Daphnia pulex: one gene and its partners. The protein of the gene in region 3 purifies or fractionates together with the protein of the main gene of each other region. This does not show direct contact. Links are inferred from orthologs where the notes say so. Each region holds a gene or a part of one and is shown on either strand. Other genes may lie near its edges. The genes, in order: protein AATF-like, THUMP domain-containing protein 1-like and RNA cytidine acetyltransferase-like.

Region 1 (4,021 bases), on a different chromosome or scaffold from region 3:
CGTTGTTGGTTTCGATGATGTGGATTTGGTCACTATCAGTGGACGTCACTTTGTTTGCCCCCAGAATGTAAGCTTCTCCGCCAGTTTTAACGAAGTGAGAAAACCGGTTCAAATTTTTACGAACGGTTCCTTTACCGTCTCCCAATTTCAACCCTGCCATGTTGACATCAAGCGCACTACCAACGTCGCTATTGCTTCTCCCACCTGCAGCAGGGTTTCCCGGATTGCTACCTTGGTTGGCTTCAGAAACGTCATCATCCCAGTCGTCATCCCAATCATCGTCGTACTGGAAGTAGATTGAAAATACCTTATTAATACAGTTACCAGGAATCTCCACAATGTTTTTGGAATACCTGTGATTGTTGCTGTTGAATCGCTGGAGCTACATTTTCCTCTACGTATATCTGGGGCAATGGAGGAGGAGGCATAGCAGGAGGTGCATTGTAATTTTGTTCAATAGCCTGTTGAATTAATACAATAAAATGGTTTTTTGAGGTTTAAAATAATTCAATTTACATGTTATTAATACAGAAAAATCCAAATGATACAAAATTCTTTTCTGGTTTTACACTAGCATGCATGACATAACAGGAGTAGGAAGAAATTCATACCTCAACGTAGGCTGCAGGAAATATTCCACTAACTCCACGTTGATTACTACCTTCCCACCATCCTTCACCAACATCCTTACTAGTGACAGTTAGAACTTCACCAGTAACAATAGATAGTTCAGATGTGCCAGGCTGGCCTTCAAAATCATAAAGGACGCGCGCCTAGAAAAACGATTCATTTTGTAAATTAAACTGGTTTCGAAACCGGATATGGTTAATGAAATGGTAACAGCAGTTACAGGAGTGAGAAAATTTATAGTTCTAACTAGAAGACGAAACTGATAATTAGAAAAACCGGAATCAAAACTCAAAAGTTACCTGACCAGCCATCTCGAAGAATAAAAACTCAGCTTTTTACAATACCCCTGCTGCTGTGTGCTGTCAAACTGATTTCGTCTCGCCCCCTAATAACAGCTGAGAGGAATGAGTCAGTGATGAGCAGAGCTGAATCTGAAACCAAACGATAAGTTACAAAATCTGAGACCCGAGTGACATTTTAAGGCCCTAATGTTTCTTCTGTCTAGTAAGTAATGCCATCTACTGTAGAAAGATATTAACTGCATTGGTTTGAAAGAAAAACAAAAGAAGTACGATTGTTCGAATTCGTCTGCAACGTGTATTGGTAGTAAAACACGCGACACGCGGTATCAATTATTTTAGAATACTGAAACTTAAATGTATACATTGTGAAACATTTATTTATGAAATGTCGAAAGGCAAATCCCTAAGTGAAAGATTAGCCGAACTTGCCAATCCAACACCTCAGTTTGCTGATCCAGAAGATGAATATAACGAAGGTAACAAATTGAAACAAAATAACACCTACTTGTTTTTCTTAAAGTGTTTCTAATCTTTCTAGAAAGTAAAGCAAGGCTGGAGTCCTTTGATGACCAATATGAGTCGTATGATAACACTCAGGTGGTTAAGAATAAAGCACCAAAAAATAAATCTAATCTACGCCAAAAGAATGTGGAATTATTAGCTGTTTCAGATAGCCGATATGCTGGGAAGCGTGTCAGTCGCAAAGATCTAAATTCTCCTGTAGGAGAAGGCTACAAAAGTTCTGAGTCATCTTTAGAATCTGATAATGAAAGTGGGGAAGAAAATATTCTGGAATTTAAGAACAAATTCATGAAAGAAACAAACAACAAATCAGAGAAACCCAACATCTTCCAGGAATCAGAAGACGAAAGTGGTTCATTGAAATCTGATATTCATGAAGAAGATAGTAATGAAAGTGAATTGAATAAATCTGAAGATGACGAAGAAGCTGATTTTGAAGAAGGAGAGGGTGAAGAGGAGGGTGAAGAGGAGGGTGAAGAGGAGGGTGAAGAGGAGGGAGAAGAGGAGGAAGAAGAGGAAGGAGACATTGGAAGTGTAGATGACAGTGAAGGAGAAGAAAATGAAAAAGTTAAAAAAATGTCAAAAAATTCTCATGATAATGATATAAACAAGGGAAAATCTATCCAAAATCAACTCTCATTATGGGATCATCTTCTTGAGTGTCGTATAAAGATGCATAAAGGAATAAATTTATGTAATCAGTTACCTCAAGCTCCTTCAAATTACAAGCTTTTTACTAAAGCAAGTGGAGAAAACCATTTTGTTGCAGCAGGTCAAGGTGCTCAGGCAGCTATTAAATCATTATTGGACAACTGCCTTGAGCTAGAGGTAATTCCTGTTTTATTGTATTTTAAATTACTTAAAATAATAAAAAAATTAAAAATTCAGGAGCTTCTTCTTAAATCTAATCCACAAACAAAAGCATTAACGCAACGAAAGTCTAACGAAGAGGGCAGGTATTAAATGTTAATTTTTCAGTTTAAAAGGCATTAATTAAAATTTAAAAGTGTTTCCTTGTCAAATAGTGATGAAGAAATTCCAAGTGACACTGACGAAGAAGCTGGAGAAGACGACGAGGACATTGATGATGGAGGACCAAAGCGCAAAAAACAAAAAATAGTCGGATATGAATCCGAGATTGGAGAAAGACACGAAAAATTGCGCGGTTTTTGGCATCGTACACTGAACATGTGGAATGAAAAAACAAGATTAGCATCAGGGAGAACGGGGTCTGGAAGCAAAGCCGGATTTGGGGCTTTTGATCAATCTATCTTGAAACAAATTGAGGGTATCCTTAGCGACAAGCAACGGTTGATAAATCGTACACGGATAAAGAGATCTACCTATCGCATACTGGGATCTATTTCTAAACTCAGTCCCAAGGAAAATACAATTAATGGAAAAGGAGAGGAACACATACAAGTAATTTGATAGCTAACAATCGTTTTTTACCCCTTAATATGTTCAAGTAATTATTGAGTAATTCTCCTTAGGATGACCAACATTTACCCGAAACTAAAGAAGTCGATTATGAAGAATTCGATCCTGAAATTTATGATGACGATGATTTCTATCATCAATTACTTCGTGAGTTAATTGAAAAAAAAACTGGCGAAGCTGGCTCAAATCAAATTGCTCTTGGAAGGTTAGTAGCGTTTGGTGTTGTATCTAATACATGTTGTTTCTAAGTGTGAACTTTAAATGCAGGCAATGGTTAGAAATTCAAAAGTTGCGATCGAAAGCCAAACGAAAAGTCGATTCAAAGGCAAGCAAAGGACGAAGACTTCGATATCAGGTGCATCCTAAACTTGTTTCCTTCATGGCTCCGTATCCTGAGGCTTCATGGAATGACATTGCCAAAAATGAGCTGTTTGCCTCGTTGTTCGGGTCAGGGCCTACTGTTAAGTAATTGTGATGACTGTCTTTTATGTATGTTCTTTATATAAGACGTCTAAATAAACTTTCAGTCTCGTGTGTGCGAACAGCCTATTTTTCTACATTGTTTTTGTTAAAGTATTCTAATGTAGGCTTCAAGAAATTATGGCAAGCCGTTCGCGGCACTTTTCAGGGAACGCACAAACCTAAAAGTAATGCAATAATAGCTGTATAACGTACGAGCACTCGCATAAGCATAAACCTAAAACTAAAGCAAAAACCTTACCTAGTGTCTGATTTGGGACGTTTCATGTAGTCGATATTTGTTATAAGAAGGCAACAGGCAAGAGAGATTACCCGTGATCTAATACGCTAATATACTACATAAAATGCATTCTAAAGCATCTTCCATTACGGTCAATATCTTTTGTAATTATTTTGTAAATACAGTACAGTATCGTCCAAAAAAATCCGAACACCATGGTCTCTTTCTTTCTTTTTTTAAAATTCTTCGAGATTTTTTTCTTAATCCTAAAAAATGAACTTTGTAAAACAATTCATTCTACACATAATATGAAGTCTTGAAAGCTAAAAACAAAAAATATACACTAAACTGGGCTTTTGAAAAAGAGGTGCGTTCGGATTTTTTTGGACGATACTGTACCTACCTAAAGTTTGGGAACACGCGAGAG
Region 2 (3,074 bases), on a different chromosome or scaffold from region 3:
TTGTTATCGCAAGTTACAGACATGTGCTCAACTTTAGATTTGTTTGGCTTTTCAGAAGTGTTGATCATTTGTTTTTCATTAGAGTTTCCGTTAACGACATCCTCAGTATCTCTAGGACGCAAATTCAAGTTCACTAAATTGTGGGTTGAATTTTCCTCGCTGATATTTGAACTTTTATCCGAAATGGTTGCAGAATATTTCATTGATGGAACATGGATTACATTCTTGTTTTGTTTCATGGCTTCAACATTGTTGGAATCATTTCCCTGCAATTCGTCAGAATCAGAAAGGTTCAGTTTAGGCACATTCAAAACGGCAAGTTTCTCTTCTTCAGCCGCTTTGTTCTGCATCATTTTTAAAAGTACAGGGCTAGGCGCTTCCAGTGTGTAAGATAAGCGCCGCATTCTTTGAGATTTAATAGGGGTTGAACAGTCTAAGCTCGTAGAAATATCAGTATCGGAGATGGTCAATGCCCGTGGTGTTGAAGTTCCAGATTCTGTTGAGCTAGAATCTGAATCTGAGTTTTGCATGTAAGGTCCTAGATCAGTGCTTACAGCTGATGACTCTGAAATGCTAACATCTTTGCAGTCTTGTTTCATGGACAAAAACTTCTTGTGGAGATTCTCAATTGAAACGTCATCAAGTAGTGGAGTGGATGGTAATGAATATGATGTTACTGGCAGCGGTTTAATTGTTGGCTGAGAAAGAGAACTGTTGATCTTCACTGGTGTTTGCAATAAAGGTTCACTGATGAGACGATACTTTGAGGGTGTCACTTTTGAAACATTCAGCTCATCAAGTGTCACACATTTATCAAGAATTATTTGGACTTGCTCCAAAAGTTGGGCCCGTCGTTTTTCTTTCAATCGGGACTCAATTGCAACAGCTTCATCTCTAATTTTCCGCATTGCTCGTCGTTTATCATCATTCATCTGGACAGAGATAGTTGGAATGGTTAGGTATACAAAGAAAAAATCATGTCACAGAAATCAAAACTTACAAGAGGTGGAAGAATAGGTTTCCCTTCCACTCGAATGCATGAGACGTAGTTTGTATTTGTGTTTGACATTTTGAACAACCAGATTTCATTTCCTACATGTCACGCTTGACAAAAATGGTAACCAACGTTTCCACAGCTTCCAGCTCCCACACAAACTTTGAACATCTGTCAGAAGTCGATCGGTGCGTTCACAAATGACCTACGCATGGAAAGAAAATTTATCGATGAATACGATTTGAATTGAAGATCAATACTATTTCAAATTTTTATTAATATAATTTTAAAATCTAAGAAGGCAAAATTATATATATATTAAGTTATTAAAAATATATAAGAAACTTCGTGTATTTAGTTTTAACGGTTGTCGCTTGGGGTTGTATTTCGAGCCCGTTTTCCACTTTTCCGTCTGCTGCATTCGAGTTTCATATTTAACACGCGCACTTGAGCAAGTTAGCCATTAGCATCCTTTAACATTAGCATTTAACGATGTCTGAATCCGGAAACAAACGCAAAGCCAAAGACAAGGCATATTATATCAAATCTGCAAAGCAGGCTAGGAAATCCTCCAATGAATTAGGGCCTGGACAGAAAGGTTTCCTATGTACTTCAAACAGAGAAAAAGAAAGTGTCAGAGAAGCCTACAATGTAAACACAACAAATAATTTGTTTTATTGTTCATAACTAACTTATCCTTTAAGATTTTGAATGAGTATGCTGATATCATTTATGGTAGTGAAAAACCAAAGGAGGAGCCTGAATTGTCAGAGGTTAAAAAAGAAGAAATTGAAGATGAGTTGTCTAAAGAAATGGAGGAATTAAAAAAGAAGCAAGCTGCACCTGTTTCTGAAAGAAGATTCCAGTGTGTTATGACTAACATTAAAGGATGCATTTTTATTCGCTCAACAGTAAGAATTTTTAGTTCTTTTTATGTAAGTTCAAGCTTAACAGTTCTTTTCTAGGTTGAAAATCCTTCAGCAGTTGTAGATGCAATAATTAATGATATTGAAAAGAAAAAGCAGCAAACTACAAAATTTCTGTTACGTATGCTTCCAATTCAACTGACTTGCAAGGTATTTTACCCAATATTGATGTATGCACTACATTTAATAAATAATTTATGATCATCTTTGAAATGATAGTCTGTGAAGGAAGATATCTTGAAAGCAGCTGAGAATCTCATTGACCAAATGGCTGATTACAAAACATTTTCTCTCCTCATCAAGTAAACATCATTCATGTTTTGACTGTGAAAATTAATCATGAGTAATTCTAATAATTTTTATCCAGGATAAGAAATCACAATATCAAACGAGATGCCCTAATAGAACCAATCGCGGAAATGGTTTCGAAGAAGTTTCCTGAAATTAAAGTTGATCTCGACAACCCGGAAATAAGTATGGTCGTTGAGGTGCTAAGAGCAACATGCTGTTTGGGTGTAGTTACAAATTATTCAGGACGAGCCAAGTACAATCTTGTTGAAATTGCTCAGAAGGCCAAATAAAAATCTTTGACTGCAATTTAATTTTTCTTTTCATTGTAAATTATGATTTAAGTTTTCATACAGATGAGATGCTTTGGCATTTTCAATTTGTTTGTTGTTGCAAATTTTGCCAGGCTCAACATGTACTGTATTATTAGGACTACAATTGTATACTGCTCTCAGTAGAGGATTAGGATTTTTTTCTTGTTTGGAGATCATTTCCTGAGTTAAAAGAAAAATAATTAAAATTTTTTCTACACATAAAAGAAAACATTTCATTACTCTCAGAAGAGGAGGAAACTGGATAAATTCAGGCAATGGTTTTTTCAGTTTTTCTACATCTTCTGCTTTCATTGTCCGGCTGAGGTAAAACTCTTCTTCATCTTTCGGAATCAGTTTGAAGTCATTCTTATAGGCAGTTTTGGACAAATCAAATTCTCCAAAAGACTTTCCTCTAAATACCTTTTCTACAAGTACTCTTCCAAATAAATTTTCCTGGATAAAAAATTATAAAAAATCAAACGAGATTATAACTTGAAGAGACAAGAAGAGATAGTACCTCGTCCATGAGCGGCTCAGCGCGTATAATCTTAA
Region 3 (4,249 bases):
GTTTGACTTGATTATCGTACGGTTTCCGAATGATTAAATTACGCGGAGGCAAGACGTAAACAGTTGAAATTCTTTGATCGGCTCAGACCAGTCAAATGAAATTTCTTCTACATCTGGCGGTCATCTCCAAACTTGTTTTCTTTTTTCAATTTTTGTTCCAATATTTACATTAAGCTATAAGTTGTAATAATTTATTTTAAAAAATTTTATTTTTTGTTCTGCTTTTGAAAATTTGTAATCACTACTCGGAAATTGATTGTTTGTTCATAATTTTTGTGGGCGACTTTCATTTGAGTTTGTTTTAAGTTGTGTTTTTTTTTTTTTATTGTGACATGACCTGGTTTTGTGAAGAACGGGTGTAGTTAGGTTTTGTCGGCCGAAATGGAATTGTTAAATTTTACGGATCGAAAACCTCCCCTACCATCTCCGGTTCCTGCCCAGCGTCCTGTTCTGCCTCCGTACCCTTCGCCAATTCCCACCCGGCCTCCGCAATCACTTCCCGTTAGACCTTTCCCTTCAGTTCCTCTGCAACCACTTCCAGCTCCTCCTTCAGTTCCTGTCTATCCGCAACCGTTTCCAGCACCTTCATCACTTCCTGTCCGGCCTCTAATGCCGCCACCTACTCCTGCCTCCACCACCACCAACAACTGTCAAACCAGCCAGGCCCATTACCACTCGACCCACAACAACATCTCTTTCTCCTGACAAGTACTGGAAGCAAACTTGGACTACTTCGGCTCCCAATTTGATCTGCAACAAGAGGTGGTGTTGGGACGGTCAAATGTTTTTCGACACAATAGGCGATTCAACTGAGAAAAGCGTTAATATTTTCAAAAAACCTACACTACCGTGAAATGTGTTCACAATTTGATCACTAATACGCTCAATGCCTCGGAAACAATTAAACCAACGCAATAATCAATCAAAATTTAAATTATTAGCGTACACAAACATAAAGTCTTTCCACCGTAGATGTTCGTAGACGTGTCATACAGACAAATTTGTTAGGTACAAAACAAGCCTGATCTGCAGTCGTTCAAATGAGTTGTTTAATGAACCCTGACTGAGTAAACGAAAAAGGCTAAGGAAAAATAGTTTCAGTCCACCGCCTAGCTCAGGAATAATCGTACTCAGTACTATCTAAGTATCTAACGATTAATAGTATAGATTTAATAGTCAACAAGGAAGAATAGAGGTAAAATTTTTTCCTACCTTTAAGCCTGGGAAATACGGCCAGGCATCCATTCCATCCACAGAATAGTTGACTGTTACACCAGCCGCGAGCCCGCGAAAGAGAATTAAAGAGCAGTAGTCCGAGTGGTGAGACAGGGCTTGTGTGGTAGTAGTTAATGGCGGCCTCTATGATCGAGCATGACATACACGTCTGTGATTTAAACATTGGGACTGTCTCCTCGAACAATTTGTAATATTTCTGCTAAAAATGGTGCGCAAAGAGTTGGATAAGAGGATTCGCACCTTAATCGAAACTGGAGTAAAACAGGGACATCGATCCATGTTTGTAGTTGTCGGTGACAAAGCCCAGGATCAGGTATAAATAATAAAACTAACCATGTTTCTTTTGAGAAGAGACAACATGTGACACACTATTTTTTGGTTTCTTTTTAAAGACGGTTATTCTACACAATATTTTATCAAAGACGACAATCAAATCAAGACCCAATGTCTTGTGGTGTTACAAGAAAGACTTGGGTTTTAGCAGGTATTACATTTTTTTATTTTTGAAAGATGGGGATGCTTAAACATGTTTTTGGATACTTACAGCCATCGTCAGAAGCGAATGAAACAGATGAAACAAAAGAGAAAACAAGGCAAAGTTGACATCAATGAAGATGACCCGTTTGAGCTTTTCATCCTTTCAACCAACATTCGGTACTGTTACTATGCAGAGACACATAAAATTCTGGGTAACACATTTGGAATGTGTATTCTTCAGGTTAGTCTAATTTTTTGTGTCTACTTTTTAAAAAATTGTAAAACTATCCGTATGTTTTCACAGGATTTTGAGGCCTTGACTCCCAACATCCTAGCAAGGACCATTGAAACCGTCGAGGGAGGAGGCCTGGTTGTTCTCTTGTTGAGATCCATCAACTCACTTAAGCAGCTCCATACTATGGCCATGGATATTCATGCGCGGTACAGGACTGAAGCACACAACGACGTGGTTGGCCGATTTAACGAAAGGTAAAAACCCAAGATAACTTGTACATGTTTTATCACTGCAAACAACTAAAAATATTATTAATTTCTAGGTTTATTCTTTCTTTGGCCTCTTGCAATCGTTGCCTAGTTGTTGACGATCAACTCAACATTTTGCCCGTTTCGTCTCATTCCTTCGAGATTAAGACTATGCCTGCAGTTGAAACAGTTGAAGAATTGAAAGAACTGAAAGCTAGTATGCAAGATACTCAACCTGTTGGTTCGCTTTTGAACTGCTGTTGCACTCTTGACCAGGTAATTTAACACAATTAAAGAAAACAATGAACTCGGCATTTAACGAAGTACCGCATTTCAGGCCAAAGCTGTTCTCAAATTTGTTGAGTGCATTTCGGAAAAAACATTGAGATCAACAGTGGCGTTGACGGCTGCTCGTGGACGTGGTAAATCAGCCGCATTAGGACTGTCGATGGCAGCTGCAGTTGCCTTTGGTTACTCCAACATATTTGTCACAAGTCCTAGCCCGGAAAATCTGAAAACTCTTTTTGAATTTATTTTCAAAGGTGAGACTTGTTTGAGATCTAGTTGTGAAAAGTATTTTTCTAATTCCCAACATTTCAGGCTTTGATGCACTTCAGTACAGCGAACATGAAGACTACAGCATCACGCAGTCGAGCAATCCTGAATTCAACAAAGCCGTAGTGCGAGTAGATATTTTCCATGATCATCGACAGACCATCCAGTATATCCATCCGACAGACGCAGCCAAACTTGGCCAAGCTGAACTGGTCGTGATTGACGAAGCTGCAGCCATCCCTCTACCACTTGTAAAAGCTCTGCTTGGGCCCTATCTGGTTTTCATGGCATCCACCGTCAATGGGTAGGCTCGCTTGTGAAATATTAAAACTGTACACGTCAAGTTGATAATTGCCCGTGTTTTAGGTATGAAGGTACAGGCCGATCTTTGTCACTCAAGTTGATTGAACAGCTGAGAGTGCAAAGCCGACCCATGGGTGCTTCTACTAAACACAAGGAGATCGATTCAAAACTTCTGGGACGAAGCTTAGCCGAGGTGAGTTTATTTAGAATGGATTTTTTTGGGATTTATTGGTTAATTTTAGTTCGTTTTTATGTAGATTACTTTGGATGAATCTATTCGATACCGGAACGGGGACGCTTGTGAAGCTTGGCTGAATCACCTTTTATGTTTGGACGCAACTTTGGCTCCGCCTATGCCGGCAGGTTGCCCATCACCCGAGAATTGCGACCTCTACTATGTGGACAGGTGAGCTTGATTTAAATATGACTTGTTTGTTTGTTTCTAATTTGCTGAGTACTAAATGGGAATTTAGGGACGCGCTATTTTCCTACGATAAAGCATCAGAAGCTTTCCTTCAGCGTGTCATGTCCTTGATGGTATCATCACATTACAAGGTAAAACCAGACTACCTTTTCTTTACCCGTGCATCTTTTAATCCACGCCATTTAACTTGTTGATTTTAGAACACCCCCAATGATCTTCAAATGCTCTCTGACGCACCTGCGCATCATCTTTTCTGTCTGCTCGGGCCTCTGGCGTCATCAGGAGGCAAGACGCATGAAGTGTTTTGCGTCATTCAAGTCTGCCTTGAGGGTGACATTTCAAGCGCATCCATCATGCAAGGACTGGCTCGAGGACAAAGATCGTCTGGTGACTTAATCCCTTGGACCGTGGGTACGCAGTTTCTTGATCAAGATTTCCCGAAACTATCTGGAGCACGCGTCATCCGCATCGCCACTCACACGGATTACCAAGGCATGGGTTATGGTAGCCGTGCACTGGAGTTGCTGGAAAAATACTATGAGCGAAATATGATCAACATGGAGGAAACGGAAGAGTCCGAACACAAAGGCCTCAAGATTGTCAACGAAGAGACTGTTGGCGAGCTCGGGAAGGATCAAGGAAAATCACGAAAGTTGCGACTTTTGCTGAAACTTAGTGAAAGGAAACCGGAACGGCTAGACTACCTTGGCACGTCTTTTGGTCTGACTGGACCTTTGTTGAAATTTTGGAAGAAAGCTGGTTATGTTCCCG

Evidence for each region.
Region 1: the proteins of RNA cytidine acetyltransferase-like (region 3) and protein AATF-like purify together in Homo sapiens (affinity purification with mass spectrometry; 3 studies listed by BioGRID and IntAct, with this or other methods). This does not show direct contact. The link is inferred for Daphnia pulex from reciprocal best matches to the Homo sapiens genes NAT10 and AATF.
Region 2: the proteins of RNA cytidine acetyltransferase-like (region 3) and THUMP domain-containing protein 1-like purify together in Homo sapiens (co-immunoprecipitation; 3 studies listed by BioGRID and IntAct, counting the BioPlex papers as one, with this or other methods). This does not show direct contact. The link is inferred for Daphnia pulex from reciprocal best matches to the Homo sapiens genes NAT10 and THUMPD1.

Annotation. Positions count from the first base shown.
Region 1 is NC_060028.1:5,997,751-6,001,771, forward strand, and holds protein AATF-like, read left to right. Parts: upstream 1-1,202; 5' UTR 1,203-1,317; coding exon 1,318-1,408; intron 1,409-1,470; coding exon 1,471-2,282; intron 2,283-2,342; coding exon 2,343-2,410; intron 2,411-2,479; coding exon 2,480-2,876; intron 2,877-2,947; coding exon 2,948-3,099; intron 3,100-3,161; coding exon 3,162-3,363; 3' UTR 3,364-3,443; downstream 3,444-4,021. Other genes in the region: sorting nexin lst-4-like, read right to left, coding at 1-286, 354-461, 612-773, 930-941. UniProt on the Homo sapiens protein: Part of the small subunit (SSU) processome, first precursor of the small eukaryotic ribosomal subunit.
Region 2 is NC_060018.1:5,172,264-5,175,337, reverse strand, and holds THUMP domain-containing protein 1-like, read left to right. Parts: upstream 1-1,355; 5' UTR 1,356-1,486; coding exon 1,487-1,645; intron 1,646-1,698; coding exon 1,699-1,905; intron 1,906-1,959; coding exon 1,960-2,070; intron 2,071-2,139; coding exon 2,140-2,222; intron 2,223-2,287; coding exon 2,288-2,501; 3' UTR 2,502-2,517; downstream 2,518-3,074. Other genes in the region: uncharacterized protein LOC124210585, read right to left, coding at 1-932, 1,001-1,069; 28S ribosomal protein S34, mitochondrial-like, read right to left, coding at 2,532-2,702, 2,763-2,975, 3,040-3,074. UniProt on the Homo sapiens protein: Functions as a tRNA-binding adapter to mediate NAT10-dependent tRNA acetylation modifying cytidine to N4-acetylcytidine (ac4C).
Region 3 is NC_060023.1:8,182,883-8,187,131, forward strand, and holds the start of RNA cytidine acetyltransferase-like, read left to right. Parts: upstream 1-1,316; 5' UTR 1,317-1,441; coding exon 1,442-1,549; intron 1,550-1,628; coding exon 1,629-1,720; intron 1,721-1,782; coding exon 1,783-1,954; intron 1,955-2,017; coding exon 2,018-2,202; intron 2,203-2,270; coding exon 2,271-2,472; intron 2,473-2,533; coding exon 2,534-2,738; intron 2,739-2,796; coding exon 2,797-3,055; intron 3,056-3,117; coding exon 3,118-3,247; intron 3,248-3,311; coding exon 3,312-3,460; intron 3,461-3,527; coding exon 3,528-3,609; intron 3,610-3,678; coding exon 3,679-4,249. UniProt on the Homo sapiens protein: RNA cytidine acetyltransferase that catalyzes the formation of N(4)-acetylcytidine (ac4C) modification on mRNAs, 18S rRNA and tRNAs.